4 linked regions of the Oreochromis niloticus genome follow. The protein of the gene in region 3 purifies or fractionates together with the protein of the main gene of each other region. This does not show direct contact. Links are inferred from orthologs where the notes say so. Each region holds a gene or a part of one and is shown on either strand. Other genes may lie near its edges.

The links.
Region 1: the proteins of nop56 (region 3) and ebna1bp2 purify together in Homo sapiens (affinity purification with mass spectrometry; 4 studies listed by BioGRID and IntAct, with this or other methods). This does not show direct contact. The link is inferred for Oreochromis niloticus from reciprocal best matches to the Homo sapiens genes NOP56 and EBNA1BP2.
Region 2: the proteins of nop56 (region 3) and bxdc2 purify together in Homo sapiens (affinity purification with mass spectrometry; 3 studies listed by BioGRID and IntAct, with this or other methods). This does not show direct contact. The link is inferred for Oreochromis niloticus from reciprocal best matches to the Homo sapiens genes NOP56 and BRIX1.
Region 4: the proteins of nop56 (region 3) and nolc1 purify together in Homo sapiens (affinity purification with mass spectrometry; 6 studies listed by BioGRID and IntAct, with this or other methods). This does not show direct contact. The link is inferred for Oreochromis niloticus from reciprocal best matches to the Homo sapiens genes NOP56 and NOLC1.

Annotation. Positions count from the first base shown.
Region 1 is NC_031981.2:33,036,386-33,043,584, forward strand, and holds ebna1bp2 (putative rRNA-processing protein EBP2), read left to right. Parts: upstream 1-4,198; 5' UTR 4,199-4,332; coding exon 4,333-4,428; intron 4,429-4,696; coding exon 4,697-4,780; intron 4,781-4,969; coding exon 4,970-5,142; intron 5,143-5,385; coding exon 5,386-5,509; intron 5,510-5,814; coding exon 5,815-5,904; intron 5,905-6,015; coding exon 6,016-6,091; intron 6,092-6,209; coding exon 6,210-6,300; intron 6,301-6,418; coding exon 6,419-6,581; intron 6,582-6,672; coding exon 6,673-6,720; 3' UTR 6,721-7,010; downstream 7,011-7,199. UniProt on the Homo sapiens protein: Required for the processing of the 27S pre-rRNA.
Region 2 is NC_031972.2:18,181,314-18,189,330, forward strand, and holds the start of bxdc2 (ribosome biogenesis protein BRX1 homolog), read left to right. Parts: upstream 1-5,007; 5' UTR 5,008-5,051; coding exon 5,052-5,201; intron 5,202-6,372; coding exon 6,373-6,484; intron 6,485-6,577; coding exon 6,578-6,621; intron 6,622-6,704; coding exon 6,705-6,775; intron 6,776-6,865; coding exon 6,866-6,915; intron 6,916-7,005; coding exon 7,006-7,079; intron 7,080-8,017. UniProt on the Homo sapiens protein: Required for biogenesis of the 60S ribosomal subunit.
Region 3 is NC_031970.2:28,335,095-28,342,230, forward strand, and holds the start of nop56 (nucleolar protein 56), read left to right. Parts: upstream 1-4,135; 5' UTR 4,136-4,258; coding exon 4,259-4,261; intron 4,262-4,931; coding exon 4,932-5,021; intron 5,022-5,110; coding exon 5,111-5,225; intron 5,226-5,595; coding exon 5,596-5,760; intron 5,761-5,967; coding exon 5,968-6,166; intron 6,167-6,347; exon of another isoform or gene 6,348-6,483; intron 6,484-6,930; coding exon 6,931-7,118; intron 7,119-7,136. UniProt on the Homo sapiens protein: Involved in the early to middle stages of 60S ribosomal subunit biogenesis. Required for the biogenesis of box C/D snoRNAs such U3, U8 and U14 snoRNAs. Part of the small subunit (SSU) processome, first precursor of the small eukaryotic ribosomal subunit.
Region 4 is NC_031978.2:22,127,862-22,135,032, reverse strand, and holds the start of nolc1 (nucleolar and coiled-body phosphoprotein 1), read left to right. Parts: upstream 1-4,167; 5' UTR 4,168-4,214; coding exon 4,215-4,325; intron 4,326-4,618; coding exon 4,619-4,674; intron 4,675-5,277; coding exon 5,278-5,429; intron 5,430-5,539; coding exon 5,540-5,673; intron 5,674-5,773; coding exon 5,774-5,888; intron 5,889-5,975; coding exon 5,976-6,103; intron 6,104-6,236; coding exon 6,237-6,354; intron 6,355-6,707; coding exon 6,708-6,839; intron 6,840-6,927; coding exon 6,928-7,017; intron 7,018-7,111; coding exon 7,112-7,171. Other genes in the region: mrps6 (small ribosomal subunit protein bS6m), read right to left, coding at 3,352-3,684. UniProt on the Homo sapiens protein: Nucleolar protein that acts as a regulator of RNA polymerase I by connecting RNA polymerase I with enzymes responsible for ribosomal processing and modification.

The sequences.
Region 1 (7,199 bases), on a different chromosome or scaffold from region 3:
TATGGCTACTGTGTGGCTAGAGTAATACATGGGTATAGGCCGACTCTTTAGCAGTCAACTCACAGATGTTTTGATGGATGGAGAAGGAATGGATATCCACTCAAGAAAGGACAGATCAAGACAAAATGACCTAAAATACTTTTCCCAGTAATTCATCCAGTGTTGTTTACTTGCACATCCCTAAATCTCCTTAGGCTGATTGAGAGCCATAGGAGCTGAAGCACTCAGCCATCTTAGGCCCAGACATTCATGACTGTATTATTGTTTTTTTGTCCAATCCTCCAGCAACCAGGAATAACTCCAAAAGAGGAGCTTGACAGAGTGAATCCAACTTATTTTCAATCTGGTGTCAGGAAGCAGTCTGTTGCCCTGATATGAAGAGTGACAGCAGAATGGGAATTTAATAGACCGCATTTCTGTCTGGCTCAAGCGATTACAATGACAGAAATGTAAATTATGGGGGGTTTTTTTCTCCTTTTGAAGATGTCTCAGAGCAGGGCTCTGACCATGCAGAGAATGGAAGAATTAAGGGTGGTGATGTTCAAATTGTAGAAATCGATTTCCATCAGAATAGAATGAATGTCACTCTCAGGGGGGCTCAGACAGCCTCTGCTTTGAGGACTAGGAGGATAAAACACTGAAAGAGGCCGATGACATCTCAAATGAACAGCGGCTGTCAGCACAGAAGTCCCCAGTCTACTTCCTATCCTGCCCATCTGGTATTAGTGATAGCGAAACTTCTCTAACCTGCTGAGCTGTGAAATAAACAAAATTTGCATGGTTTAATACCAAACTAAATGTCTCATTAATATGCTAAAGTGACATGAAAAGATCATTCTTCATCATCAGTGTACATAGAAATCAGTTTGTTACTGCTAATTATTACATCTACAGTCATGGTAAGAAATATAAAGTGAACTCTCTTTAAATTCCAGTGTAGTAAATATAATCTGTCCACCAGTACTGCTTCCATAGGAATGAAGATAGTAAGTAGCAGCCAGGTGCTGATAATCAAATGCACTTGAGTCATAAGAAAGTGTGACCACCTCTTTGAAAGCTTTGGCAGTTTTCTGACCTGAAGCAGTCAGGTGAATTAGCACCGTGCCAAGGAAGAAAGACATCAGCAACAATCTTGAAGAAGCAACTGTTGCTCCCCATCAATCTAGAAATGGTTAAGGGCCATTTCCAAACAATTTGAAGTCTATCATTCTGCAGTGAGAAAGATTATTCACAAGTGGAAAACATGACACATTCATGACAGCTACCAATCTTTTCAGGAGTGGATTTGCCAGCAAATTCATCCCAAGGTCAGACTGTGCAATGCTCAGAAAACCTGAAAGAGCCAAAGTCTACATCTCAGACTCTACAAGCATCAGTCAGCATCTTAAATGTTAAAGTTCATGGAAAAACAATCAGCAAATGGCACAAGTATGGCTCTTCTCTCTAAACAGAACATGGCACCATTGCTTAGGTTTGCAAAGTCCGAACAAACCACAAAATGTCTAAAACAATGTATTTTGGATAGATGAGGCCAAAAAGGTGGCGTTTGGATAGAAGAAAGCCAAACACAGCATATCAGCACAAACACCTCATGGGGTGAAGATTTAGGCTTGTTTTGCAGCAACAGGCCCTGGACACCTTGTAGTCATTGAGTCAACCACGAGCTTCTCTGTATAATAAAATATTCTAAAGTCACACATGAGGTCATCTGTCTGACAGCTCAAGCTTGGGTCAACAGAAGAACAACCTCAAGCACAGCAGCAAATCTACAACAGAATTACTGAAAAAGAAAAGAATCAAGGTGTTGCAATGGTCCAGCCAAAGTCCAGACTTCAAACTGATAGAAATGCTCTAGCTGGACCAAAAGACAGCTGTGCATAAATGCCCACAAACCTCAATGAACTGAAGCAGCCTTGTAAGACAGGTGAGCCAAAATTTCTTTGTTACAATGTGAGAGACATATAGTCACTCCGGAAATTATAACTTCAAGTTACAGGTCTACAAGCTATTAAACAATTGGCTCTACTCAGTTTTTAACACATTTCTTCTGCATTTTGGCTCAGTGTAATATATCAGGTGTTGTTGTCTGTCCAAGGTTGCATTTACTTAATTTTAAGACTGGGTAAGGACCAGATGACGTTTTATTAACTGTGTCTTTTCACCATCACTGTATGTTCTAATTATTACAACTGTTATTCTAACACATTTCTGCAAGACTACTCTGAGCTTTCCTGACAAATCAAAGTAATGTCAGTAAGCCTGTAAAGTTGGATCACTTTTGTAGTCCAGGTGTCGTGAAAACGAGCCGCTTATTAAGAAGAAAGCTGTTCATGTTGCTATTAGTCAATCTCAAATGCAACCTTCAAAGAGATAATGAATTTAACTTTCAGTAACATAGATAAGAGCAGCAGTGTCATGTAAAGAGAAAAAAAGTTAGGATAAAATAGGCAAAATATTAAAATACTGCATTAGTTCCAGATTCAATATCTTTTGATGTTTTTTAGTTATTTGAATGGCGTATGAAAGCGAAGATCAAAGATGCTATGTGCTGTTTTGTTCAGTTAGCAGTTCTGATGCACAGTGCATAAGATAGGACACCAGCAACCACCCAGGTAATGACCACACAAAACAGTTTCAATATAGGGATATGTCTTATATTTTTCTTTAAGTTACATTCACACTGAGAAACCTGGAGACCACATAAAACAATGAAAAAAGGCAAAGATACTGTCTGTCTGATTCTGCTTTACTTTCTGGGTGATTATTGATTATCTGTTTCTTTGCTATGTGGCTATAATAAAGGTTTGCAATTACCTTGTCTTCCAAAGAAAACCATATCTGTTTAGCAGCATAAACATAACACAGCTAACCATTAATTGCATTTAGGAGTGTTTTACTCCTCACCACCCGAAAGGGTAAATTATCTCTTAGACTAAGTCTTAGTTTTAGTATGCACACTTTAAAGAATGTCAGCTCTTCGCCTTGCCCTTGGTATGGTTGAGATCCTTGCTTGACCACTTGAGATGAATCCCTTTCAAGTGACATTTTGAGTAAGATCAACTTACTTCCATGGTCACAGGCAAAGCACACCATTAGCATTCAGCACATACGCACTCTGGTTCTAACTGCAAGCCCTTCACTCTACAACTGCTACGTGACCACATAAGATGAACACAAACTGTCCTTCGCTAACATTAAAGTGAATGATTGTGACTCCCATTGGAAGTACTCTTCGGTTTTGGACATTTCAATGCTGATGGCCTTTGCATACGGCATATCCACTGGTTTCTCTCGGGTGCTAATCAAAATGTGTGTGATGTGCACTGGAGAGTTTAAAGAAAAAAGTTCCTTGGGTAGCATGACTAAAGAGGAAAGGATCACAGGCAGAGATCTGTATGTTAAAGACACACACAGGCTACATCCCAAGAAATAAACAATAAAAGAATTTATTTAATTTTGAATGTCTAATGAATGCAGAAACAAACTTTACTCAGAGCACCAGATTTTGGGCTGTCCTGATTTTCCCCACAGACAAAATGTTCATTGACAGTGACACTGGGCCAAAAACGCAGACATTTTTCTCAGTCGTGCCATGTCAAAGTGACAGAAATCGACTCAGGAATTGAGTAATGGAAAAGAAATGTCGATAGTTTCTGTCTTGATGAGGTGGCAAGTGAAAATCCTGAGTCTTCCTTTACACAATAGGAAAAGATTTAAAGTAGAATCTCTAAATTGACGTTAGACTGTAAAGTTCTCATATCGACCCATCCACTGTACTTTCCAGTCTGCGCAGGTGTACAACATCTCCTCTAAGAGGACTTATTTGATATTACACACTAGACGTAACGGAAACGTGTTTTCGTCAAAGACCGTAGACTTTTATACAGTCATTGGTTTTCGTAAACCACCCAAGGCATTTTATTTTATATGTTAAATCAAATTTAAAGACTGGAATGGAATTCAAAACAACATTTTTATCTATATGAAAAGCGGAGATTTCAATGAAATAAGATGATACGTGACTAAAGTTGCATCAGAAACTCTTCAACGAGCGAATCGGACATTGAGTTATCGGATAGTGTGACTTAAACGTTATTTACTTCTGTATTTTTTATTTTTTATTTATTTATTTACTTTTTCTGCGTTGGAATTTTTTCCGGGTAGGAACGATTATTTTTACACTTTTTATCCCCCGGCGAACTGAATAGGTAGGACGTTCAGAGGCGTCACTTCCGCTCCACGTGAAAGGCTCCTTATACTCCATGTGAGGAGCACTGTATATCCGAGGCGTATTTTACGTTTTAATATTGATAGTTCGCATATAGTCATCTCATGGTTATCGGCAGCAAGACTATGGCGTTCGTAGAGGAAGAGGCGCTGCTCGGTCAGGATTCAGAGGAGGAAAACAGTGAATTATCGGACGATGAGGTCAGTTTCCTAACATGCTAGCATCGTTAGCTAACCACATTCCTATTAAGTATTAGGGTTTTAAACGTCACTGTGCCTGCTGTTTATAAAGTTAATCAAACAAACAGAGACCTGGTACTATTATCAGTGTCGGAATCTTTATTTTTCTAATCAAGCTTTTTAGATAGCACGAAAGTTCACGTTTAGTAGGACCGTGTAGTCTTGCTGTAGCAAGTGGTGGTTTAGATAAGTCAGAGTTAATATTATTCATCTTCATTTCATTGCCCAGCTGCAAGAAGCCTTCGCAGCGGGGTTGTTGAAGCCTGGGATGAACGTTCTGGTGGATAAACCGAAAAAGTTAGTCAACAATGTGGTGAGTGGCATCTCACATCTTCTGTTAGTAGCAAGTTATGCTACACAGGGATGATCAACGTACTATAAACAACCATACCACTGTAATAGTTTTAAAGCAGCAATGGAACGGTTCTCGAAATTCCCTGTAAAGTGAATATAATAATATTGTTACTTGTTGTACCTTTATTGATCCTATGTTGTCACACAGGAGGGGTTGAAACAGTGTCTTGCTGATTTTCGTAAAGATCTTCCCTGGGTGGAGAGATTGGATCTGACCAACCTACCAGCTGCAAATATAATTTCTCAAGCTGAAGAGAAAGCTTCAGCGCCAGCCGCTGGAGAACTGGATGCTGATGATGATTTCCAGAGGGAGATGTTCTTGTACGTGACTGTTAATTTAGCTCAGTTTTATTTAAAGCATCACATATGCTTGTATTTTGTAACCACACTAATATAGTTTGGTTACGAGTCAGACAAAGAAATCACTTTTTTCAGCTAAAGAGTTACAAACATGCATACAGTGTTGAATGTTTTAGAGAATAGCCTAAAAAAAAATGCTGCAAAAATACAACACAGCTACAAAGAGACCATTCCAATTCTTTGGTGTTTTTTGTTAATTTACAGCTACCGTCAAGCTCAGGCTACAATCCTCGAGGCAATGCCACTTCTAAACAGGCACAGCATAGCCACCAAGAGGCCCGAAGACTACTTTGCAGAGATGGCCAAATCTGATCAGCATATGCAGAAGGTGAGCCTGGTCTCCTTTATAATGATGCAGGTTCAGTTTTGACAAATATGTTTAAAGCTCAAACTGTATTTCATTACATTAAACCAGCAAAGCATCAGCTGTTTGCTTTTTTTTTTCTCCTTACATGTTCCATAAAACCTGAAACACATAATTACAGTGATGTTGGAATCTAAGTATTAGTTCTCACCCAGATAGTAAAGTAATTAACATTTCTTTGCACCTACTGGTTCAGGACCTGAGTTTAGTTGTTCTTTTGTTCTGTCAGGCTTATATTCATATACCTTTTCATGTGTTGGTCTGTTCAGATCAGGAAAAAGCTGATCTCAAAGCAGATGATTATGGAGAGGTCAGAAAAGGCCAAGAAACTGCGTGAGCAAAGGAAGTTTGGCAAAAAGGTTGGTGACTGAGTTTAGAAATTCTTCTTAACACCTGTAAATGTTATATGTGTATGATACTTCGACTGTACATGGCTAAAAGACTGACTCTAATTTTGAATTTTTTGCCAGGTCCAAATAGAAGTGATCCAGAAGAGACAGCAGGAGAAGAAGGCCATGATGTCCGCTGTAAAGAAATACCAGAAGGGTGGGTGTTTACAAGTGTAGCATGGACGTTATTTCCTTATTTCTTTTATCGTTTTGTCACTATACCACTGTGGGTGCATCACTTATTGAGCACTGAGAACAACATCTTCTCTTTCTAGGAATGACCGACAAACTGGAATTCTTGGAAGGTGACCAGAAGATGAATAAAGAATCTTCTCAGGGCTCAAAGAAAGCAGTGAACAAAAAGGGGTAAGTTTGAACAGCAGTGCACACAGCAGTCATTGCTTATTTTTTTCTTTGCTCCCACTTCAGATTTGTGGTATTTTTAAAATGAAATTCACAATTTCCCTTCTTTTTTTTTCTACAGGCCCAGCGCTAAGAGAAAATACAAGGACCAGAAGTTTGGCTTTGGAGGCAAAAAGAGTGGAAAGAAGTGGAACACCAAGGAAAGCTACAACGATGTTTCCGGTTTCCGTGCCAAAATAGCTCACGGCAAGGGAGGGAAGAAGGGGAAAGGAGGAAAACAAAATGTGAGTCTCTCACACACACAGTTAGCCATTGACAGTTTTATTCAAATCAGTCAATAAAAAAACAAATAATTTCTTTCTCTTTGACTCCCAGAAACGTCCAGGCAAGTCTGTGCGCAAGAAGATGAAGAATCGCTCTTAGAGACTGGCGGGCTGCTCAGCAGACTGGACTTTGCTCTCTGCTTTTTGGCAGGATTTGCCTTAAGGGACTATGAGCTCTTCTTCTACATTTTTTGGTACAATATACCTTTCGTACATGCATCTGGATTGATATGGAGGTCCATATTAATCATATTCAAACCACAGATGGACTGAGTCCGATCTTACAGCTGGGGAAGTTATTCAAAGGGCCTGTAAAGCCAAGAATGGACTGCACACAGCTCCAAAATACAGAGCTTTCCTAAGTTTGAGGACAATGTTATTTGCTGTATATACACTGATATTTGCATCTGTGGCTGCAGTTGTCCCTACCCTAAGGTGGTTTTAGATCCACTCTCTGTGATTACACCTCAGTATCTCCACCTTCTCAATGACACACTGTTCTCCTGAGGTTTGTGTGTTGTTTTACTTTTCTCACTCAGCTTTTTGACTCATTGATTCTCTCCCATGTTACATGACATT
Region 2 (8,017 bases), on a different chromosome or scaffold from region 3:
ACAAAACCCCAAACTTAAAATCTATGGTAATTTCATGTTCCATTTTCAAAGTGTGACTCTTCACATTTACATTCTAGTTCAATTTTATTAGTGTCAAATCATAACAAAGGTTATCTCAGAGTGCTTTGCATAGCAGGTTCAAGACATTTAAACTTCCCTTCAGCAGAAAGAAACCTAGGGCGCCATCTGGAAGACAAAAAGCAGTGTTAATGGCGTATACCAGTGACACACAAATGCCTGGAGAGTAAAAGAAAAGAAAGGCGATGTCTACTCACCTTTGTACTTTTAACACTTGTACTTCTTAAATTATCTCCTGGATTTTACAAAGAGGCAATAAAGGGAAGCTAATAAGGGAGAAATACACGTGTTTACTGTCACAGTCAATCTTTCACTACTCGTTCCTCCACATCCCTGTCTTCACGAGCTCATGGCGCCCTCTAGTGCTAACAAGAAAGCTTGCTGCTTGTTGAAATAATAACTACTAAAGACCTAGATTTAGTATGTCCCTCGCTGAAAACAAAGAAGGTAGTTTACAAGACACCCAAACTGCCACACCTCTGTGTTTTATACTTTTATAATCAATCATTTACTCACCCACCATGCTCCACCTTAGTCATTGTGAGCACATGAAAACCTCTGTACTTAAAACTAAACTTGGGTCCTGTTACAATAAAAAATTAAAGAGGACCTTACGTATTTTAAATCTGCCTTCATGTCGTGTTTATGGAGGTCAAAGATGAAAAATAAAACCTATATATAATGTTCAAAAACAAGTAAAACAGCGGCTTGTGTCAGCAGGTTTCAGATCCACAGTTACATAAATCTCTGTTTGGGACAATGCAGTAATAATTGCAGAGGTCTTTTGAGTTTTAGTTTTTTTCCTAATCTGCTTTGTTCTGATTACACCTTTTGTGTATGTTTCCCCACACGCAACCCTTTGCGTGTCTGCAGTATTGTTTCCACCAACAGGAAGGAGCAGGTAATTATAAGCAGATTAGGAAGTGGTAACAATGACTTGAATGCTATTCTTCTTCATATAGGAAAACATCCCACTGGGTATTGTCATCATCAGTGCCCAGAAAAGAAAAGACATCAATCAGGACATTAATCGGGGAATAATAAAAGGAAAAAAGACCTATGGGTGCATGGCTGCAAAGGTTAGGATATATGTTGTTTGACAGCAGAGATGAAGATGAGGACTTGGTGTGGTAAAAGCAGCCTGCAAACCGTGGCAGCAACATAAGTGTCGTGTCATACTGTATTTCAAAAATAACCAGCCGTTATCAGCATCCTGTACCCTAACATTGGCAATCAGGATAAGCGGTCACACATAGCTGGTTACCAACTCACTTGGTCAACTGAGCAAGTTGTGGGGGAAATGATTGTTCGATCCCTTGCAGAATTAGTTTGCTCGTTTACAAAGAAATATCCCTAATCTTCACAGTAGTTTTAATGGAGAGACACAAAAGATAAACCAGAAAAACACACACACACACACACACACACACACATTACATAAAAGGTATGTCCCTGTACTTTTATAGTATTTGGTGAGGAAAAAACACTTTTTGGCTAGTAAAGCGGTAAGACGTTTATTATAGTTGGTCACCAGGTTGGCAACCAGATCAGGAGGGATTTTGGCCCACCTCTCTAAATCCTTGTGGTTTCTTGGCTGCCACTTGGCAACTGGAAGCTTCAGCTCCTTCCACAGATGTTCAATAGGAAAATTGGACCTTTGGTGTGGTGACGCTGTCTTGTACTTTTAGCAGAAAAGGAGCCCGAAAGCATGACGTTTCCACCTCCGTGCTTGACTGTGGGAATAGTGTTCTTTGGACGATACTCAGTATTTCTCTTGCTCCAAACATGCAGGGTTGGGTTGATGCCAGACAGCATGATTTTAGTTTCTTTTGACCACAGTACTTTCTCCCAAGGCTTCTCTGCTTCATTTAGATGTTCACTGGCAACTAGATGAGCTTGAACATTTGCCTTATTGAGCATGGGGACCTTGGTGGTGCTGCAAGACATCAGTGCACTTCAGCACAGTGTGTTATCAAAGGTCTTCTTAGTGATGGTGGTCCCAACTGCCTTCAGAGCCTCCTGTATAGTTTTAGACTGATCTTCCACTTTCCTCATGATTATCTTCATCCTATGAGGGAAAATCTTTCATGGAGGGTGACCAATGATTATTTTATATTTCTTCCATTTCCAAATATTTGCAACAGTTTTCACCTTCTCTCTAAGCTTCTTGCTGATGTTTTAGAGCTCAGTCAAGCCTTGTGCAGGCCTCCAATCTGTTCCTTACATCCTTTGGCAGCTCTTTGGTTTTGCCCATGCTGGTGGAGAGATGCTTTTTTCCGGATTATAGGTTGATATTCTCCCTCTTTCTATTAAAATGAAACTAGCAAAACAAAAAACAAAAAAAATGAGAGAATGTTCATTTCTTTGGCAACAAGCAAACTTGCAATTTCAGCAGGGGATCACATTTCCCCCACTGTAGGTGTGAGCACATTCACATGAAAGGGGTGTTATTGGCAATCACACTGATTGTTATGTCACCAGCTGAGCAGCTGATTTTACAAAGGAAGAATAAACTATGATGTTAAAAAAATATGAAGTGGTTAAAAACATAACAGAGAATCAAAATAACACAGCTACTTCAGATAAATCAGCGACATGAGAGAGAAAAAACTGTACTGTTTCGTGTTAAAAGTGCTGTATGAATTTGTGAGTGCTTTCAATGTTTTGGACAATAAGACTGAAAAAGAGCTACATATTGATAAAGTGTAGCTGACTTCAAGGCAGGAAGAAAACCTGGGGAAAATGCCAGTTGTGCGATTTAACAAATAAATCACTTATCACAACTTTATCATTCGGGAATTGTGACATTGATCAAGACTTCAGTCGGTGGAGAGTTCATACCTGTTCATCTCTAATCTGGCGTTGTGACAGAAAGTGTTTTTTACATGTAAGATGTTTGCTTGTATTGGTAAACAGACTGTAGTCAACAGGATTTACAAAGGGATTATATTTTAAATAAAGAAATTACCTGTTTTAGCATTTCTGCAGTGCTTTCAACACCATCCAGCCACGACTTCTGAGGGACAAGCTGGAGCTATCGGGAGTGGACCACCACATGTCCCAGTGGATACTATGGACTATCTCACAGAACGCCCACAGTATGTGAGGACACAGGGCTGTGTCTCTGATACACTGGTCTGCAGTATGGGGGCCCCCACAGGGAACTGTGCTGGCACCGTTCCTCTTCACCCTCTACACTGCAGACTTCTCCATCAACTCCCCACGCTGCCACCTACAGAAGTTCTCTGACGACTCTGCCATAGTTGGCCTCATCACAGGTGAGGATGACTCAGAGTACAGACAGTGGACTCTGGACTTTGTAGACTGGTGTCAGCAGAACCACCTGCTGATCAATGCCGGGAAAACCAAAGAGTTGGTGGTGGACTTCCGGAGACGCAGACCCACCACACTGACACCGGTGAACATCCAGGGAGTGGACATTGAGATAGTGGACTCTTATAGGTACCTGAGTGTTCACCTGAATAATAAACTGGACTGGAGCCACAACACTGATGCTCTTTACAGGAAGGGTCAGAGCAGACTCTACCTGCTGAGGCGGCTGAGGTCATTTGGAGTCCAGGGAGCGCTTTTAAAGATCTTCTATGACTCTGTCGTGGCATCTGTCATTTTTTACAGTGTTGTATGATGGAGCAGCAGTTTATCGGCAGCTGAGAGGAAGAGGTTGTGTAAACTTATCAGGAAAGCCAGCTCTGCTCTGGGATGCACCCTGGACCCAGTGCAGGTGGTGGGAGACAGAAGGACTCTGGCCAAAATAACATCTCTGATAGACAGAGTCTCCCACCCCATGCATGTAAATGTTGCTGAACTGCAGAGCTCCTTCAGTGACAGACTGCTGCATCCTAGATGCATGAAGGAGCGTTTCCGCAGGTCCTTCCTCCCTGCAGCTGTCAGACTGCAACTTGCACTATTTTATCAACCGATTCACACTACAACCTGGGTTTGCCTCTTATCTGTATTTCATTTTATTTTATTTAATAACTGTACAGTACTCTGTTTTTGGTAACCATTGCCCTTGATGTAAATATGTAAAAATTGTGTATGTTTCTGTTCTGTGTCTTGTGTACTGTTTGTTTGTATATGTGTCTTTCTTGCTGCTGTTACATCCAAATTTCCCCTTGTGGGACAATTAAAGGATTATTCTATTCTATTCTATTCTATTCTATTTAAAAGAATGACTCTGCATTATTGTACCTACATTATAACCAATCAAGTCCTTTTTGGTCACTTAAAATATCATTATAGAACTATAATGCTAATTTGTTGCCATTTCTGATACATTCTTGGCCAGATCCCCTCAAAGAAGACATTTTGAATGTCAACAAGACTCTTTAATGGGACAAATAAAGGTCATATAAAAGAAACTTTACCAAAAACTAATTTCAGTTTCTACCTTGTAGCAGGAATGTTGTTTGTGGCTCAAGATGACTTAATAGCTATCACAAGGGAAACATTTGGCACATATTTCACATGTTATAGGCCAACAAGTCAATGACAGCAATTAAAATACGAGTAATCACTTTTTTGGCGAATACCAGAAAGCACTTTTAGGCAGACGATCACTTAAGGTTCGCAGAATGAGTTACCGTGGCGATGTAACCCTGTAACTGATCGACCTTTTTAGTACAGGGAACGCAGGGTTCATCCTGGAGCTACTTAATATAGAATGCCATATAGGCAGGTGGAGGCAGGTGGAGGCAGGAACTGGCATCATGCCACACCTGTCTCTGGCAGGCAGGAGTAACAGGAGTGATCCTGAACGAATAAATGAATAAATAATTTTTTTTTTCAATGCCAGGGTTGAAAAGGGGGATCTTTCTTTCTTTCTTTCTTCTAGAGCCGCCATCCAAAAAAGACGTTGGGGGTACCATCTCCAGGACACTAGAGGTCACTCTCACTATTGCTTTATGTTATTTTTTTTCTTCGGAAGTTCGGAGTTTCGTGTGCGTGCAAACATGTCGCCGTTCAAGAGAAAACGTGCCGGCCAAGATTCCGTTGATTTCAAGCCGAAAAAAGGAAAACTGGTACCAGATGAAGGCAAAGGCCTAGAGGAAGTGGGAAGAGAGAAGGAACATGAGATCACGGTGCCAGCACCGATCTCTCAGGTCAGAGTTATAGCGTGTTATTGTCCACTGAACTATTTTAGCTGGTGAGCCAACTTCAGTTTACCAACTACGCGCTACTTTACTTACTTATCTATAACCTGTTCAGTGTGTTGCATCGGATAGAGGAATTCGTTATATCGGAACATTCCCAATCTGATATCGCCACAGATATAAACCAAACTGCCTTCTTAAACGTACAGTCGGCATTTAAGGCTAATTAATAGTAAAAAGAAAGAATGTTGTGCTCATAAATATGATAGTGTGTTATTACGTTCCTTCCAACAAATTGATGCGTTTTAATAAACGCATCGTTAATCCATTAAAAATACATAAATGGCTCGTGATGTTTTGTGGAGGCGGCCAGCTTATTTAAATACAGTGGCCGGGAAGGACATTTCCCTTCCACCCAGTCGCATTTTACATGTGGCTAAAGCTCGGCTACATGTGTAAAACACCAAAGGAAGAGAACTCGTAGAAGTCGACCTCGGAGGCTATTTTAAATTCGTGACTTCGTCTTCAGACTCAAGACTTGAAGGATTATGCTTGTGTTTTATAGTCGTGGAGAAGGGGTCCCCTTCATCAAAGAATCAAAAATGCAAAGGAAAAGAGAGAGGCCCACCAGCATTTTAAGAAAATGTCATCCTCGTTATCCTCACCTCAAGCCAGTGCTTTTGTACATGGAAACAACATGCTAATTTATTCCTGATGTTGTTGCTGTTACTCATAGTCACTGGCTAAACAACAATAGCATCTAATTAGAAAGTGTCCCAAAAAGGTTTCGCTGTAATAAACAGTTTGCTTACATCGGAGGGTTTATTCACAAAGCATCAAAACAGCAGCTTTTACCAAAAGAAAGGTTCAGCATATCCTCAATAACTCACCTCAGTATGGAGGTCAAAGGTCACTGACCTGTATTAGACTACTTCCACAAAGTTTGAGGGTCTCTTCCAGATTGAATAAATGTGGATCCCTCTTACCCAGAATTGACAGCTGAGGTAAACAATGGACCAACAGCCTTCCGCAGACAGGGAAAAACTTCCGGGCAGATCCATATCTGCTCTGAACCGTAGTAGAAGAACGCTGTTTCTTTGCTTTTGTTGCATTTTAAGACTGAAATTGCAAACTGGTATTTGTTTTAGTTCGATGTTCTGAGGTAAACTCTCTTTAACAGGGCAAATGGACCAACAAGGAAAGAGTTCTGATTTTCTCCTCCAGAGGGATCAACTTCAGAACCAGACACCTGATGCAGGACCTGAGGACCATGATGCCTCATGCAAAGGCAGGTTAGTGTCATATAGCATTCACCTACGGCATTGCTTCACACAAACACCTGTGTTATCTGTCTTACCTTACTAACCCACAAATCTTGTGCCTAGACACAAAAATGGACAGAAAGGATAAGCTGTTTGTCATAAACGAGGTAAGTTTGCTGTTTAATATCTCAGTTTACTCTTATATAACATATATAAAGCATCCAGGAGAATAAAGTCATTTGTTTGGCAGGTTTGTGAGATCAAAAACTGCAACAAGTGCCTCTATTTTGAGGCCAAGAAGAAGCAGGACCTCTATATGTGGTGAGAATTTCATTGGTATTACATCTCGTGTACATCAGACTCATAATAAAGCCAATCTGAACTAAGTTCAATCATGTTCTTGTCTTGTAGGATTTCAAACAGCCCCCATGGCCCTTCTGCAAAGTTCCTAGTCCAGAACAGTAAGTTATTTCTCCACTAAAGCCCTCAAATGCAGCAATCACTTGTTATATGTTGGGAAAAATAATTGCATTGCCCCTCCTCTTCGACAGTTCACACACTGGCCGAACTCAAACTGACAGGAAACTGCCTCAAAGGATCCAGGCCGCTGCTCTCGTTTGATCCTGTGAGTAGAACTGGGTCATAAAGCCAGGAGTAATAAATGAGACTTGCTGTTAGTTTATAATCAGTATGTGTTTATTCCGAATTTCTTGCACTATGAGTCTCATCAACACCACATCAGATATTTATGGTTTAGTGTAGTCAAGGAAATAGGGATGGGAATTGGTAAGAATTTAGCGATTCCGAGATCGATATCATTTATCGATTTGATTACTTATTGCAGCAATATAGAAATTACCTTCATGCAAATTAACTGCATGCTGTGGGTTAAATGTTTGTGCATGTTACACAGAACATATTAGACATATTACACAGAACACTTTTCTTCAAAGTAATGCAGTACGTTACTTAATTACTCCCTGGAAAAAATAATTCCTTACACTACTCGTTACATTACTTTCATGTTACACTATAACTGAGCTGAAATACACTATTTAACAATATAAACCTGAGGCTACAACCCCACACACCAACACAAATCCCTAATGAGAACACACATCTCTAAGATCTTTCTCTTGGAGAATACAAAGCAGACCACACAAGTACCGAAGTTGTGTTAGCAGTATAATGCAGTTTTTTCTGTCCAGTTTTCCACTTTACCATTTATCTCATTCTTTTGTGCAATAAAAATAAGTGTCCATATCCATGCTCGACTGCGTCGCCTTTTTCCTCCTCTGACAAGCGAACCGTGCAGGAACCAGTAAGCGGGATCGATAGAAAGGCAGAATAACAATTCCAAGGAATTGGACTTCTGGGAATCGGTTTTCTACATAAACTGGTTCTCGATTCCCATCCCTACAAATAGCGTCACAAAAATCTGCACAGTGTCTTCACGCTGATACAAAATTCTCGGTCTGTGATTTGAATAGTGAAGGTGTTTTTGTGTTTAAGTTGAATTTAAGAAAAAACTCCTGAGCAAGAGCTAAAGTTTTTATTTTTACT
Region 3 (7,136 bases):
CACTTCTTCAGCTGAGAATCAGAGAGGAGAAACACAAAGTTTTACTTGCATGCAAGGGCAGCCAAAGAGCACTCACACTTGGAGTGAGGGCTCCGAGACTCGCGCTCTGCCACTGCCCTGGTCTTTATTTATACACAAGAAGAGTAATACGTTTGTTCAGTGGAATGTTGATGCATGAGCATGTGCGGATATGTGTGTGTCTGTGTGTGCGCGCGTGTGTGTGTGCGTATGCGTGTGCCAGGAGAGGCTCCTCTACCTGGTACAAAGTGAAACTGCTTATTAAGCTCTTATCTAGCAGGTACTGCTCCTTCCCTGCATGATAACGGGTCACAGTGAATCAAAACAGTCTGAGTTATAAAGAGGTCATCATGCAGTATTCTATCATATGCAAACTTATATTATTAAAAGATTATACTGACTACAATTTTCTATTGACAGCTACATTACAAAATCGAATCTGTAGGCAATATCCCACAATATTATCAATTATTTCACAGAACCTTTTGGTTTTTCAGGAACAACAGTAATCAGTTTACCAGTATGTAAAAGGAACTAATCCTAACCTTCAGAAAAGTTTGGGATCAAACACCAATGAGCTAAACGGCTGATTCATGACTGAAAATCGTGACTGATTTTGTGGTCTGGACTGACCAATTCATTAAGCTCTAGTTTAGCCCTAGTTGTACACACAAGCTGCTTACCTTCATCAGCATCAACTCTTTTGGGCTAAAGAACGTGATGTGTCCCTCCGTCCTCTGAACCAGCAGCGCCATCAGGCACACCAGCACCACGCAACCAGCCACTGCTCCACGCATGCTCATTTTGCTCTGTCCCCTAGAAACATACACATTGGTACATACAGAGCAGAAAGTTCACACACAATACAGTCTGAAGGTGGCCAAGCGACTCTATTTTGCAGTGGTCGACATCTGGCATGACATGCAGCATGTAACCGAGAGCGGACAAAGAAACACAAGGAATCTCGTGCTTATGTAATACAGAGTTTGGGAAATACATTAGAGATGGGGGGGGGGGCAGAACAACAAACTCCTCCAGAGGCAAGATAGATAAGAGGTTGGAACCATATTTACAACCAGCAAGACAGGTCTGTGCACAAATGTGAGTAGATGAAAACAGAACATCAAAGAGAAAGAGAAATGAGAAAGACCTAGAGGCAGAGAGAGACAGAAGCACAAGAAGCCATGAGTTACTCACATGCTGTGTCAGCGTTGGTTAGTTGCTTGAGGAAGTGTGCTTTAAAATGAGCAGAGCTCCAGTGGTCTGAGTGTCAGCTTGTTGCTGTCAGCCTTTATATCAAGCCCTCTCCTGATCCCTAAGCTTTTTACTGTCCTCCCTCACATCCGCTCCTCAACAAGCTCCTTCAAGCATAGTCCTGGAAACACAAATATTACTCAGGAACGGCTGGCTCATTTTTTTATTTTTTTATTAGGTTAGTATACTCACCTAATCTTCACTGGTACGTATAAATTATAAGATGAATGTATACTGTGCAGTTTTAAAAAAAATCAAAGCAGTCATTTCCTCATTTATTTTTACTCACTTTAGGAAGTAGAATTAACTCATGTATTCATAACACATCCTACAAAAGACAAACTGCAAACTGAAAAGTAAAGTTCAATTTTTACGTGACTTTCGTTTGGGTCACTGAGTTAAATATAGAAGCGGGGGAAAAACAATTACGACAGTCTTTTCAAAGAAGTCAGTCATATATCCTCGGCTCCAAGTAATTATCTAACACATTCTGACATTTATGACCTGCTACTAATTTGTGTTCGCGCACATACAGACCCACATGCATCTGTGCCTTGGAAACCTCATGACTTATTTCCTGCACGGTGGCGAAATGTTACTGCAATTTATTTTTATTTTGTTGTCAGAATACTCAGCAAGAGTGTTTAATTACAAGCATTGCTATTGTTCTGTGTGGTTTATTACATTTTAGGTGCATAGATGGAGCTCTGTATGTCTTCTCTAGCACTTTATATTACACAAGCACTATGACACACAGGTGACTGCTACATTTTTCTAACACCTAGAGTATGTATTTTAAAGTAACATTTAGGGATTTAGAGGCTTCAGGATAAATTATGGAAATTGTATAACCTTTATATTATAATACTAGTAAAGAATATGTATAAACAGTTTAAAATAAACCATGCTGTATATATTCAAATCTACATTTTAAACTTTGGCATACAGAATCAAACACCACAGCAAATGTTTCAAGACATCAATCACTGGGTACTGAATTTGGGATTTTCCCTTTAAAGGGGGAAAATCTCACTTCCAATGCCATGTTTTTACTCTTGGACTCTTGGAGTCACAATTAAAAAATAATCTTTATTCATCTTCTGAAACACATCATTTTACAGCCTTTCTTCAAGCCAGCTTTGCTGTCTGTGAATTCAGACTGAGCCCAAGGGCGCCTCCAGAATTTTTTCATAGGGTTAGCCATGTGGGGGCCACTAAAAATGTTGGGGTGTCACCTCAAAAACAGAATTTTCTAGTTTTATTATGCTGTTGTCAAATATAGGTTACTTGAAAATTATGGCAAAAAAGAGAGAAAGAAAATAATTAACCCAGTTAATTTCCTGCCATTAAAGTTGATATCATTGAAAATACGTACATATGAAACCCATTTTGAAATCCACAATAATTTGTTTTGATTGACTGATTGATCGATTGATTCCAACCTTCACTAATGATTCTCAGCAGAGCTGAGCAGAAGCTGTGGGGGGCCAGCAAATTCAGGGGATGCATTGCAATAACTTTTTTGGAATTACAGTCATTGTTATCTAAAGTCCCCCATTTTCAAAGGATCAAAGGTAACTGGACAGTCCTCTAACAAGCAATTTTCTGCTCCCTTGTTTCATGACAAATAAAGCAGCTGGAAACATTTGGTGTTAATTCAAGTGCTTTTGACAGTTAATCTCAATAAGAGGTCCAAAGAAATGTTGATGCAATTGAAGGAGTTAAAAAAAAACATTCACAAAAACACTTGACTTGGTTAGATGCGGTAACCATGTCATTGTAACAAGTCTATGATCAAGAGAGGTGTTCATGGATGAAAATAACGTGCAAACCACTAGGTACACTCAAGAGCAATGCCATAAAACATATAAAGAACCTGCAAAGTTGAGTAAGTGTTGTAAATGTTGACTAATTAATAAATAAATAAATACCACAATGACAAGAAGAGAAAAATATGGAGAGAAATAGCTAATGATGATTAAAGACGTAATTCTGAAGTGCACAGGCTGGTATTCTGTTCATATTCAGCCAAATACTGCAAAACTGATTAGTCAGCACTTCACAGTGCAAATGTATAATGACCCGAGCGATAATGCAAAAGCAACCAGCGAGCGAGCCATGGCAATGAAATGGGATATTCTTCAATTGCCTATTTATCTGATCCCAACCTAATATAGCATTTTGTTTAGTAATTAAACACAAACCTCAATCCAGAAAGACCCACATACAAGCATCAACCAAAGTGGCAACAGTGCCAGCATAACAGAGCATCTCAAGGAAGAAAAAAGCATGTGGTGATATTTATGGTTTACAGACTTCAGGATAGGATTTTCCTTCAATTAAAAATAAATCATTCTTATTTAAAATAATCCTACTTTGTGCAGTTAGTTTTTAATCTGGGTGGACACTGTATACAAATTACTTTAACTCCTAAACAGTTAATGTAATGCTTTTGTTAAGCGCCTCTAATTAAAACTGAACGCCTGGACTTCAAAATCGCATATTAAGTGTAAGACTTGGAATCCACTGTGGTAGTCTGCAGATGTGGTAGTCTGTATTTTTTTTTAAACTGCAGTCCCTGGCTATAGATATTTAAAACATTTCTCTACCAACAAATACACGTGGCCCAAACACTTTATTGTTTTCGTCTGTTTTGCCCCCTCCGACCTTTTCTCAGTGTGTGAACTGTAAATACACTGCTTCAGAAAAAAAAAACAAAAAATATTTTGGGACGCGTTTACCCACAGTTAGATGAGAACATATATAAGAGCACGAACCTTATATTTTAATATTTGTTTCTTCAGCATAGGAAATTGGGGAAAGGACGCATATTGAAGCTTTCTCGGTCGGGTCTCGCGATGTCAGAGCTGCTACCGCGGGATTTGGGGCGGTGCTGCTGTTTGCTGAAACGCGTGGACGCAGTCTTTTTGCTGAGGTGAAGCAGCACAGCAGACACGAATTGCGTGCTGCCGCAGATTTTCCAATCATGGTAAGCTGAGCGGGGTTGGATATGTTGGCATGACTGCAAATTGTTCGTTAAACTTTACACTTTAAGTTTTTTTGCAGTTAGTTGCGTTTTAAGAGTATAAATGTCTAGTTAGATTTAGTTCACTTCTGTCGAGCTAAAGGCCCTCCGACATTTGGGGAGCAGTTCCGCTAGTGCTGACATTAGCGGGAAAATATATATTTTACTTTAAAGGCTTAAAGTGACAAATGATGTGTCCAGCTGTGTTAGTCGCAGTCGTGCCAGAAGCACTGATATTGACAGTGCTGTAGCAGGTATTGTACTTTTCTAGGGGCCGTGTTAGCACAAGCTAGCTCTTAGCAAGCACGTTATACGCAGGCCTAGGTCGACACGTGGGTTCATCGAGACTGCAACGTGGTTACGTGTGAAAGTTACGACAAAGCAGTGGTAGCTAAACCTGAAGTGGGAAAACACTTTTGAAAAAGCTACTGCACATTTATGCCTAAAATTGCAATCTTATTTTAGGAATTAATCGAAAGTGAAGTTAGCTCGTGTCTCGCTGGTCAGCACGTGGGGACTAGTAAACACTTGATCTGAACGTAGTTTTAGAAACACCTTTCAGTTTCTGCTGGCTGCAAGTGTTACCTGTTTACGTCTGTCGTCTAACTCGATCGTGCACGTTCACCTTCCCTAGGTGTTGCTGCACGTGTTGTTCGAGCACGCGGCGGGCTATGCGCTGTTCGCCGTCAAAGAAGTGGAGGAGATCGGCATGCTGCTGCCCCAGGTGCGTCCTCTTCCCTAACTCCTGTGTACTATCTGTTTTGTGTGCTCTTTAAGCAGAGCACTGATAATTGTGCTTTTGTGTCGTGTCAGGTGGAGGCGAGCGTGCTGAGCCTCGGAAAGTTTAACAGCATGGTGAGCTTAGCCGCCTTCTTCCCCTTCAAGTCGGCCCAGGCCGCCCTGGAGAACATGAACGCCATCTCTGAAGGTATGTATGATTATCATTTTTCTCTTTATCAATCTTGTGTGGAAAAGTCCTCAGCTGTAATGATGTTTTATAATCTGTCAATCCACTGAGTTCTTGTGCTGACAGTTTCATATCAACCCTGAACACCTGAGGAAAGACTTTACATGGACAGCCGAAATTGTAGATTTTGATTTGTTCTTTTATCTGTAATAATTGTTAATGAGACTACTTTAATTATGTTCAATTTGTTCTGAGATGGCAAGATTGCATGATGGCAAATTATCGGGCTTTAATATGATAATATCACAATAGTCAGTGTCGTATCTTTTAGATGCCTTTCCATCTCAACCACGTGTCTACAGATGTAATTACATTCTTCCATCCCTTGAAGGTATGGTTCATGCTGACCTGAAGCTGTTCCTAGAGACCAATCTGCCCCAGTCTGGGAAGAAAAAATCAGTGTTGGGGGTTTCTGATGCCAAGATTGGAGCAGCGTTACAAGAAGAACTTAGCAGTTCAATCCAAACTGGAGGGGTGGTGGCTGAGATCACACGAGGTGAGAATGTTTACCTGAGAGTTATTACAAAATATGCAAAACGATACTGTGTCTATATAATAATGTGGACTGTTGTGATGTGAACTTGTGATCCTGAAACTCATGAAGGTTCATACTGAAAATCTGAACAGCCGTTGGATCTGCACTTTTCTGTTCGTGTTCTTCTTAACACTCAGCAAACCTTCTCAATCTGTCCTGTCCCGTCAGGTTTGCGTCTGCACTTCCACTCTCTGGTGAAAGGTCTGACTGCCCTGGCTGCCTCCAAGGCACAGTTGGGTCTTGGCCACAGCTACTCCAGAGCTAAAGTCAAGTTTAATGTCAACAGGGTAGATAACATGATCATCCAGTCCATTGCTCTGTTGGATCAGCTGGACAAAGACATCAACACCTTCTCCATGCGTGTCCGGTAGGAAATTTTCATCACACAGTAAAAGGACTGGTTTTTGCATAAAATTAAACAGTTTAGGGAACATGTTAACCTTTCATGCTGTTCATCTTTTACTCTTTTAATCTCTTCTCTAGTTTTATGGCTTTTCTGGTGACAGATTTGCATCAGGCTTTTTGTAGTTCAGGGTACATTTTGGGGCATCCTCCTAATGCTTACCACAGACAGCACACCTCAGAGTGCTGACTGTATAGAAACAGGAGGTAGATCAGTTACTCCCAACACTTCTGCTCTGCCAGCTGCTATCTGGTGAGGCAACACTGTTGGGTGGAACATCATGTATATTTACTAGCTCAGCATCTTGTAGCTGTTTGGGGTGTCGTGGCGCATGCATTCATTTTGGTGTGAAGTGTCCTGGTGCAAACTGTCAGAGTGCAAGATCATCTAGAACATTTAGGCATCAGTTATTGTCAGCTGTAGCATTCAAGTCTTAAAAGCTCCAGGCTTGTCCTACCGATACAGGACTCTGTGAATAGAATTGGATATCTTGAGAGAAAGAGAAGCTGTAATTTTGAAAGTGATATTTTTCAGCAGTCTTGAACTTAATTAAAAATTGTGCCATCTTAATGGGTAGTTCTGTTTTGTGCTTGAGCATAAAAGCCTCGGTTATTGGGTTTGTTTTATAATAGTTGTTTTTTTTGTTTTTTTTGTAAATGTGCAGCCTTTAAATGCTTACTCCAAAAACCCTGCACTCAAAGTTTTAACAACCTCTTGTTTATCTACAGTGAATGGTATGGCTACCACTTTCCGGAGCTCATCAAAATTGTGTCCGACAACTCGATGTACTGCCGCCTGGCTCAGCTCATTGGAAACAGGAAGGAGTTGTCAGAGGAGAGCCTAGAAAGTTTAGAGGAGGTGGTGATGGACAGTGCCAAGGCTCAGGCCATCCTGGATGCATCACGCTCCTCTATGGGTGAGTACACCGGACATT
Region 4 (7,171 bases), on a different chromosome or scaffold from region 3:
CAAAATAATGTTACGAAAGCCTTGAAATAAATAGGAGTAGTAGTAGTACACCCCATGCCCCCCCTTTAGACTCACCCCTGCTTACTGTTGGCATCAGTGTGACAGAAAGGATGGCTGTCGTCAACCTCCATTAGGCTGTCTTATTTAAACATTGTATGAGACTAAGTTAACAGTTCAGTTGCATAAATATAATTTTATTGTAATTTCTATAGCTTTATTGTAGATGTGTTGCTGTGTTAAGCAAACTGCGGTGGATGGGAGCACCTAGAAAGTTCACTTTTCTTCCTGTTTGCACTTGTTGATCAACGGTTTTGATGAAGGACAGTTTTTCCCAGTAAAGGCCTTTGTGGTTACTACAGGAACAAGCACTGCTGTTTTGAACGCTCGAAACATGTTTTTGTTCACACCACCTGAATGTCTCTGTAACAGCTCCGCCCCGTGGCTTTTCTCTGTCTTATTTTAAAAGATATTTTTAAGTCTTTTTTTTAATAACTGGAAGCTGCATGGGTTTAATATTGTCGTTCTTTTTATTCACACATGTGATCGTAGATATGTTTCTAATGCAGGTCTCTTTTTAAATCACAAATGTGGGAGAAACACCTCTTCTTACATGGATTAAATGAAACATCGGAGAAAATAATCTCTCCTGGGGAAGTTTTTTAATGGAATTATCTGAGTTACAGCCTTAGTCAATATTAAAGTGTTGTCACAGGAGCAATTTTTCCCCTCTGTTAACTGAAGAGAAGTGATCACCTTTAATGACACCTAAGAGCCAATCAGCACGGGAAGTGTACTTATTTCCTCCTAAATGTATCAGAGAACGCAAACAATAGTGTCTTTTGTTCTCTACAGTTTAAACAAAAGCATTCTGAAATAAAACAACACAGGCCTCTGATAAGTAACCACCACTGTCAATCAACACATATACTGACACATTGTATTGTGGTTAAATTAGAGCACCATAACGACTGCATTAAAAGGTCAGTTCAGACTTAACGGTAAAATCCCTACTCCCAGTTCCTGTTGATTATAGCATTTTAACTAACAGTTTAATTAATCACGTCATGGTGAAAGAATACAGACACTTATTAGAGAGGCTGAAGGATTTATCAGTCAACTGTAATTATCAGGCATTATTGTCCCATCACACATATTTCTGTTGGAATATATGTAGTGAAGTTATTATAATATCATTGTGTATGTGTGCACGTCTAGTTAGATCCATTTCAGACAAACAGATGGAGGGAGGAGAAGGGGGGTGATTATCTATTTTCAAGAGACATGAGGGAGCTCAATATTTTTACTTTAATACTTTTCTGGAAAGAATCAATCATTTAAATCCTGATTAAATTGCTTCAACAATGACACCTGCAGGCAAGGCAAGAGATGACAGGGCTGTGTCTGTAAGTGTAGGGGGTAGATGAGGAGGACAGCACAAACTCAGGGCAGGACCTCTTATAAGAGCTTAATACACATCTATGTTTGTTTGGTGGATCTCATGTGGATCTGCTGTTGTTGCAGACATGCAAAATGATGCTCCATGGAGTAACATCCTCCCTTACAAATCAGCAAGCAAAAGAAATAAATACAGAAACTGTGTTTGTGCAAACAAATCTTATACGAACCGAATGTATGAACTTGCATTGAAGTAATACACTGACATATTACAGGGATGGTGACTAATGAACTGATCATTTATTTAGAGGATAATCATGGCTACTTCATGTGTGATGGTCATGTCCACAAACACACAACTGAAATATTCTAGGAATATTGATTCACATTTTTACACTCCTGCCCCATTTTCACAATAAGTTAGTTTGCAGTCACTCAAGCTATAAAGCAAACAACTGGTTTAATGAATTTGGTTAATTTGTTTAATACATTATCACACTATATCATATTCCTTTCTGGTATGAGCAAGCGAGGAGGCTGAGGGTGGAGCTGGTTTAGGTACAGAGTCCAACCAAATGGACTTAACCATCTGTTGTAACCACATGGGGGAGTTTGTTTTTTAATTATTGTCCCTGTGCAGCAATGATCCACAGAAAAGAAGGTCAGACACCAACTAGGGAGAATCAGAAGGCCAAACGGAACAATACTGTCATCCCTTATGTAGCAGGTTTATCAGGGAAACTCAGGAGAGTCTTCTCCAAGCATGACATCCCAGTGCACTTCAGACCAGCCACGCACTCAGACAAAAACTGGTTCATCCCAAAGACAAAACTACCAAACAGAAACTTAACAATGTGGTGTATGCTGTACAGTGCAGCGAGGAATGCTCAGACCTCTACATTGGAGAAACCAAACAACCACTTCATAAACGCATGGCACAACATAGAAGAGCCACCTCAACGGGACAAGACTCAGCGGTTCATCCCTTCCCAGACGCCTTAAAGCCCACTCACATCCTGGGCCTTTAGACCTCAGGAAATCACATGATAAGGTGAAACCTTGGCTGATTGTGACCTACACCCGTTTTCACACCTTGGCTAGTGTGATTAAGTAGAGGATCATTAGGGGATCCATGACACTCTTGGGGACACTCCTTAAGGCTTAAAATCTGAGACTCTCCACCAGTTGCGCTTAGAACTGAAGAAGCTTCTCAGATGAGGGGTGAAACATCTTCAAGAAAACTTAAAGAAGTCCAGATGGATGACTGAGAACCTTCACAGACATATAGTCCCTGTTTTTTGTTTTTTTTCCTTTTGTGTTTAAAATGCTTTAATCAGTTACTAGAGGTTGTATTTGGCTGCTTGTTCCCTGATATCCAGGATCACAGAAGTGACTTTTCCCCTCAAATAAACAGCGGTATTCCTTTCTGTCTGGGCTATTTAAAGGTCCAATTCATCATCAGTGCTAAAACACTTTATTAAATGCATGAGGTTTATTCTCCTCCACAGTCCACTCTGTCTGTGTGTGTGTGTGTGTGTGTGTGTGTGTGTGTGTGTGTGTGTGTGTATAAGCTATTTTCTTCAAGAAACAGCTGATAAGCTTTCATTACTGTAAAAACTAGCATTCTCCTTGCTCTCCTTCTTGGGCTGTACATGAACAATAAAGGAGAAATCACAAATGCAATAATCTAACTGTAATGGTTGATTTTCTTCAGATTTATCATTTTTCTGACTCTAGACATCGATTGGAGCTCTACATTAAACTGCTCAACTATGCTTCTGTTTGCCATTTCTCTAATGGAGTTAAGTGGCCGATAAAGTAGAGTATTTCATATTTTACTACAGCCCAAAAATACACGCATGTAACAGACAGATGTGGTGATAAAACAGCACTTTGTTTCACTCTGAGTACCAGTGATTTTAAACACCTCCGCCATTCATTAAGCCTTACATTTAATCACTTCTGGGGTCCGCAGCAGTTACTGTTGGGGACCTGGGCGTCTTTCTTCAGCACAGTGGGCCTCACAACGTCCACATCACGGTGCAGGTGATCCAGTAAGCCAGCGAGCATGCTAGGAGCTGCGTAGAAATCCACCAGAAAGTAAGTCCCTCGGCTGTGCCTCTGGTTGTGTTTGGTCATTCTGTAGGGCAGCTGTCTTTCTCCCAGGTTCTCCAGGTCTCTCACCAAGGCGCCCCGCTCCATCAACGTCTCCACCGTCCTTCGCAGAACTGCCGCCGTCTCCGGCCGCTGCATCTGCTTCAGGATCAGGGCCAGCTCGTACCGAGGCATGGCTGCAGCAAAGTAATACCCGAGCCACACGTTTAATTCAGCTAGAACTGGGCTGTCATTGCCACACTGCTCAGTTGAAAGGCGACATGTTATGACACGAGGGGCACGAAAGGTCTTTAGTGATGACGCATAAAGCGTGCGCCTTCGTGGGCAACAAAGCTTATTAAATATAACAAATAAGAGTCATTTATTTTTTTTTAAATGTGGCGTTAAATGTGTAAATGAGTGCATTTCAATAATAAAAATTCGCATCTTATTTAGCATATCCAAATATTTTACTCGTATTGTTTTAGGAAATTAGTCACGTGAGAGCAACCCGAAATATTTTTAAGGTTTTTCAAAGGATTTTTAAAATCACAATTAGTCAGTGAAATTATAATGTTTTATTTAGTTTTTCTGACATTTGGAAACCTCTAGAAATGTTTTTTGTTTGTTTGTTTTTTTTACTGAAGCGTCGATACGTCGACACCCAGCGCCTGCTCACAAGTGCCTGATTCCGTCACTTCCTTTTCCAGAAGAACGTGTTGAAGATGGCGGCGGAGAAGTCGGTACCGAGTGATCTTTTCAAATGCGTGTACTCGTTTCTGGTGGAGAACAAGTTCACCAAGGCGGCTCAGGAGTTCTTGAAACAGACTAAAGTGGTGAGTAGCCTACGCTGTGTGGCGGTGTGTGACAGACACGTCCTCTCGCCGGGTACTAGACGTTAGGTCCAGGCGGCACGAGGGGTAAATACGTACAGGTCACCGAGCCGGTGAAGTTAGCACGTGTATCAGCTGCAACCTGCTATTGAGCTAATTAACGGTCGCAGTGTGTTAAAGTGTAAATACTACAGCGTGTTTATACTTTTTTAAATTATGATTTGTGGAGTTTTAGTCACAAATTCAAAGCGCTGCAAGGGAATTATTAACTTACTACTTCATGTGTTTCTCTACAGGCTCCGCAAGATCAGAATGAAGAGAGACTCGTCAATATCTACAACTTCTGGGTGAAGTGAGTTGCTTATTAATATTTTTTCATTCGAGAGGGGTTTTTGACATAAAAATATAAACACATGACCAAGCTGGCTTTCTGTGTCGAGAAGTATGTTCCTGTATTGGTACAATAGAAATTTCACTGCTGCTCTCCCAGTGTTCAAGGGTCTAGTAACGCTCGTTGAGTTTGAGGATTATAATGAGAGAAAAATCTAATACAATATGAAAAATGTTATAATACAACCCAAATGTTATTTTACAAATTTGAAGTGATTTTTGTTTAGGCAAATGGGAAATTAAATGGTTTTTATATAGCGTTTATAAGCGTTTTATTCAACATGCCAAAGAATAGTTTACCATGCAGAGTGGAGCAGCCAGTCCCTCTCTCTCACTAACTCAGTGTTCAGTTTTGCCCAAGGACACTTTGGCATGCAGGCTAAAGACTAAAGCGTTATTATTTGCATATCTTTCTACTCTGGGAAAGGGAGTGCTTTTTATCCCGTTGAAGGTTTTTTTTTTGTTGTTTTTTTTTAATGTGGGTGGTGTTGCATACTGTGTGTTAATATAATTATGGGCTATATCATTGAAACTTTAAAAAAAACATTTAAAAACCTTTAACTAGATCTCCCGAAGCCAAAAAACGAAAGGCGCCTCCAAACTGGACTGGTCCATCAGCCAAGAAGGCAAAAGCCAGCACTGAGAGCTCCAGCAGTGAAGAGTCAAGCAGTGAGGATGAAGAGGCTGGTGCAAAACAAACTAAAGCAGCTCCTGCAGGTATAACCTTCATATTTGATATGGATAACTGAAAGGGTTGGCTGAATTCTGCTAGTATTGTGCATTCTGAAACTCTGTGATATTACATTTTCCCTCATTCCACATTTTAGCAGCCAAAAAGGGGCCTGCTAAAGCAGCAGCTACTAAAGCTGCATCCAGCAGCAGTGAAGACTCTAGTGACTCTGAGGAGGACAAAGCTCCTGCAAAGCCTGCTGCAAAGCCTGCTGCAAAGCCTGCTGCAAAGGTAGAACAAAGCATCAGAATCAGACATTCTGATGATAGCCTGTTATTGCGACATTACCTTGCCTGTTATCCTTTTATTAAAATGTAGTGTCTGTTTTTAGGCACCTGTGAAACAACCTCCTGCTGCTGCAGGTAGCACAAGGAAAAAGGACAGCAGCTCCAGCAGTGAAGAGTCTGACTCTGAGGAAGAACAAACCGCCAAAGCTCCTGCACAAAGTAAGTCTATATTGAGTAATTTGTCTAAGTTAAGATTAGGAAAATCTTGGGTAACTTAATTTACTGTATGCATTTACTGAATAACAGAACCTAAAGCTGGTGCAGTCACAACACCCAAAGCAGGTGTTCCTGCCAAAGGTGCAGCTCAAAAGAAGCAGGAGAGCAGCAGCAGCGAAGACAGCTCCTCAGATTCTGAAGATGAGAAGCCAGCCAAGGTACACAAGATCTTCTGGCTCTGTCTTTATGTTGTTATGTGTTGTTGATTGTCTCACACTCAGCCAAGTGTGGTGTGTAGCGGATAAATGCATGCATCAGATATTAACAGCATATTTCCATGTGTTGTGTTAGGCTCCAGTCAAACCGGCTCCAGCCAAACCAACCCCAGTAAATAAAGCTGCTACTGAGTCAAGCAGTGAAGACTCTTCATCAGAGGATGAGGCTCCTCCCAGCAAAAAACCCAAAGCAGGTGTGTTTTCATCCTTTCTTACAACTATACAAGCTGCACAATAACAAAAGTCTGGTTTGGAAAGATGAGAGGCACACTTGCATCAGCACCTGGGAAGTGAATCCCAATCAAGTCTTTTTAACCTATTACTGATGTGCATAGGTTCGACAGCTATATGAAAATACAAGTAAGATTGAGTTCACATTAATTACCACAGTCCAGTTTTGTCCATATCAGGATCATAAGACCATTCTGCTCTGACTGAATTATACCGAAAGCTGTTCACTTGGTCATCTCTGGAATGATCTGTGATTAAAATATTTGTATTTGTAGTATTTGTTTTTAATGCTGACAATCTACATTTGTCCTTCTAGGAGCATACAGTGCTGTACCACCTCCTGCTTCAATCCAGAAAGCTCCTGCTGCACCAGCAGCAAGCAAGGCCCAGGACAGCGACTCTTCAGACAGCAGTGATGACAGCAGTGATGACGACAAAAAGGTGGCAGGTAAGTGGGTTCCTTTTTTTTTTTTCTTTCCCCACATGACTTCTTGGTGTTTATTGTTGGATGTCTAACAGCATTTTAACTTGCACAGCAAAACCAGCCCCTGTAAAGTCGCCTGCAGCCAAACCTGGAGCATCCAAACCCGCTGCAAAGAAGCAGGAGTCCAGCTCAGAGAGCTCTGGTATGGATCACAAACGTCACTCGCTCATTTCCCATGTTGAAATGATGATCAGTTTGTGACAGTGAATGTTTGTAAATGTCTCTCATCTTTCTAGATTCCAGCTCAGAAGAGGAGACGGCCAAGAAGCCTGCAGGTAAAGCAGCCCCAGTCAAAC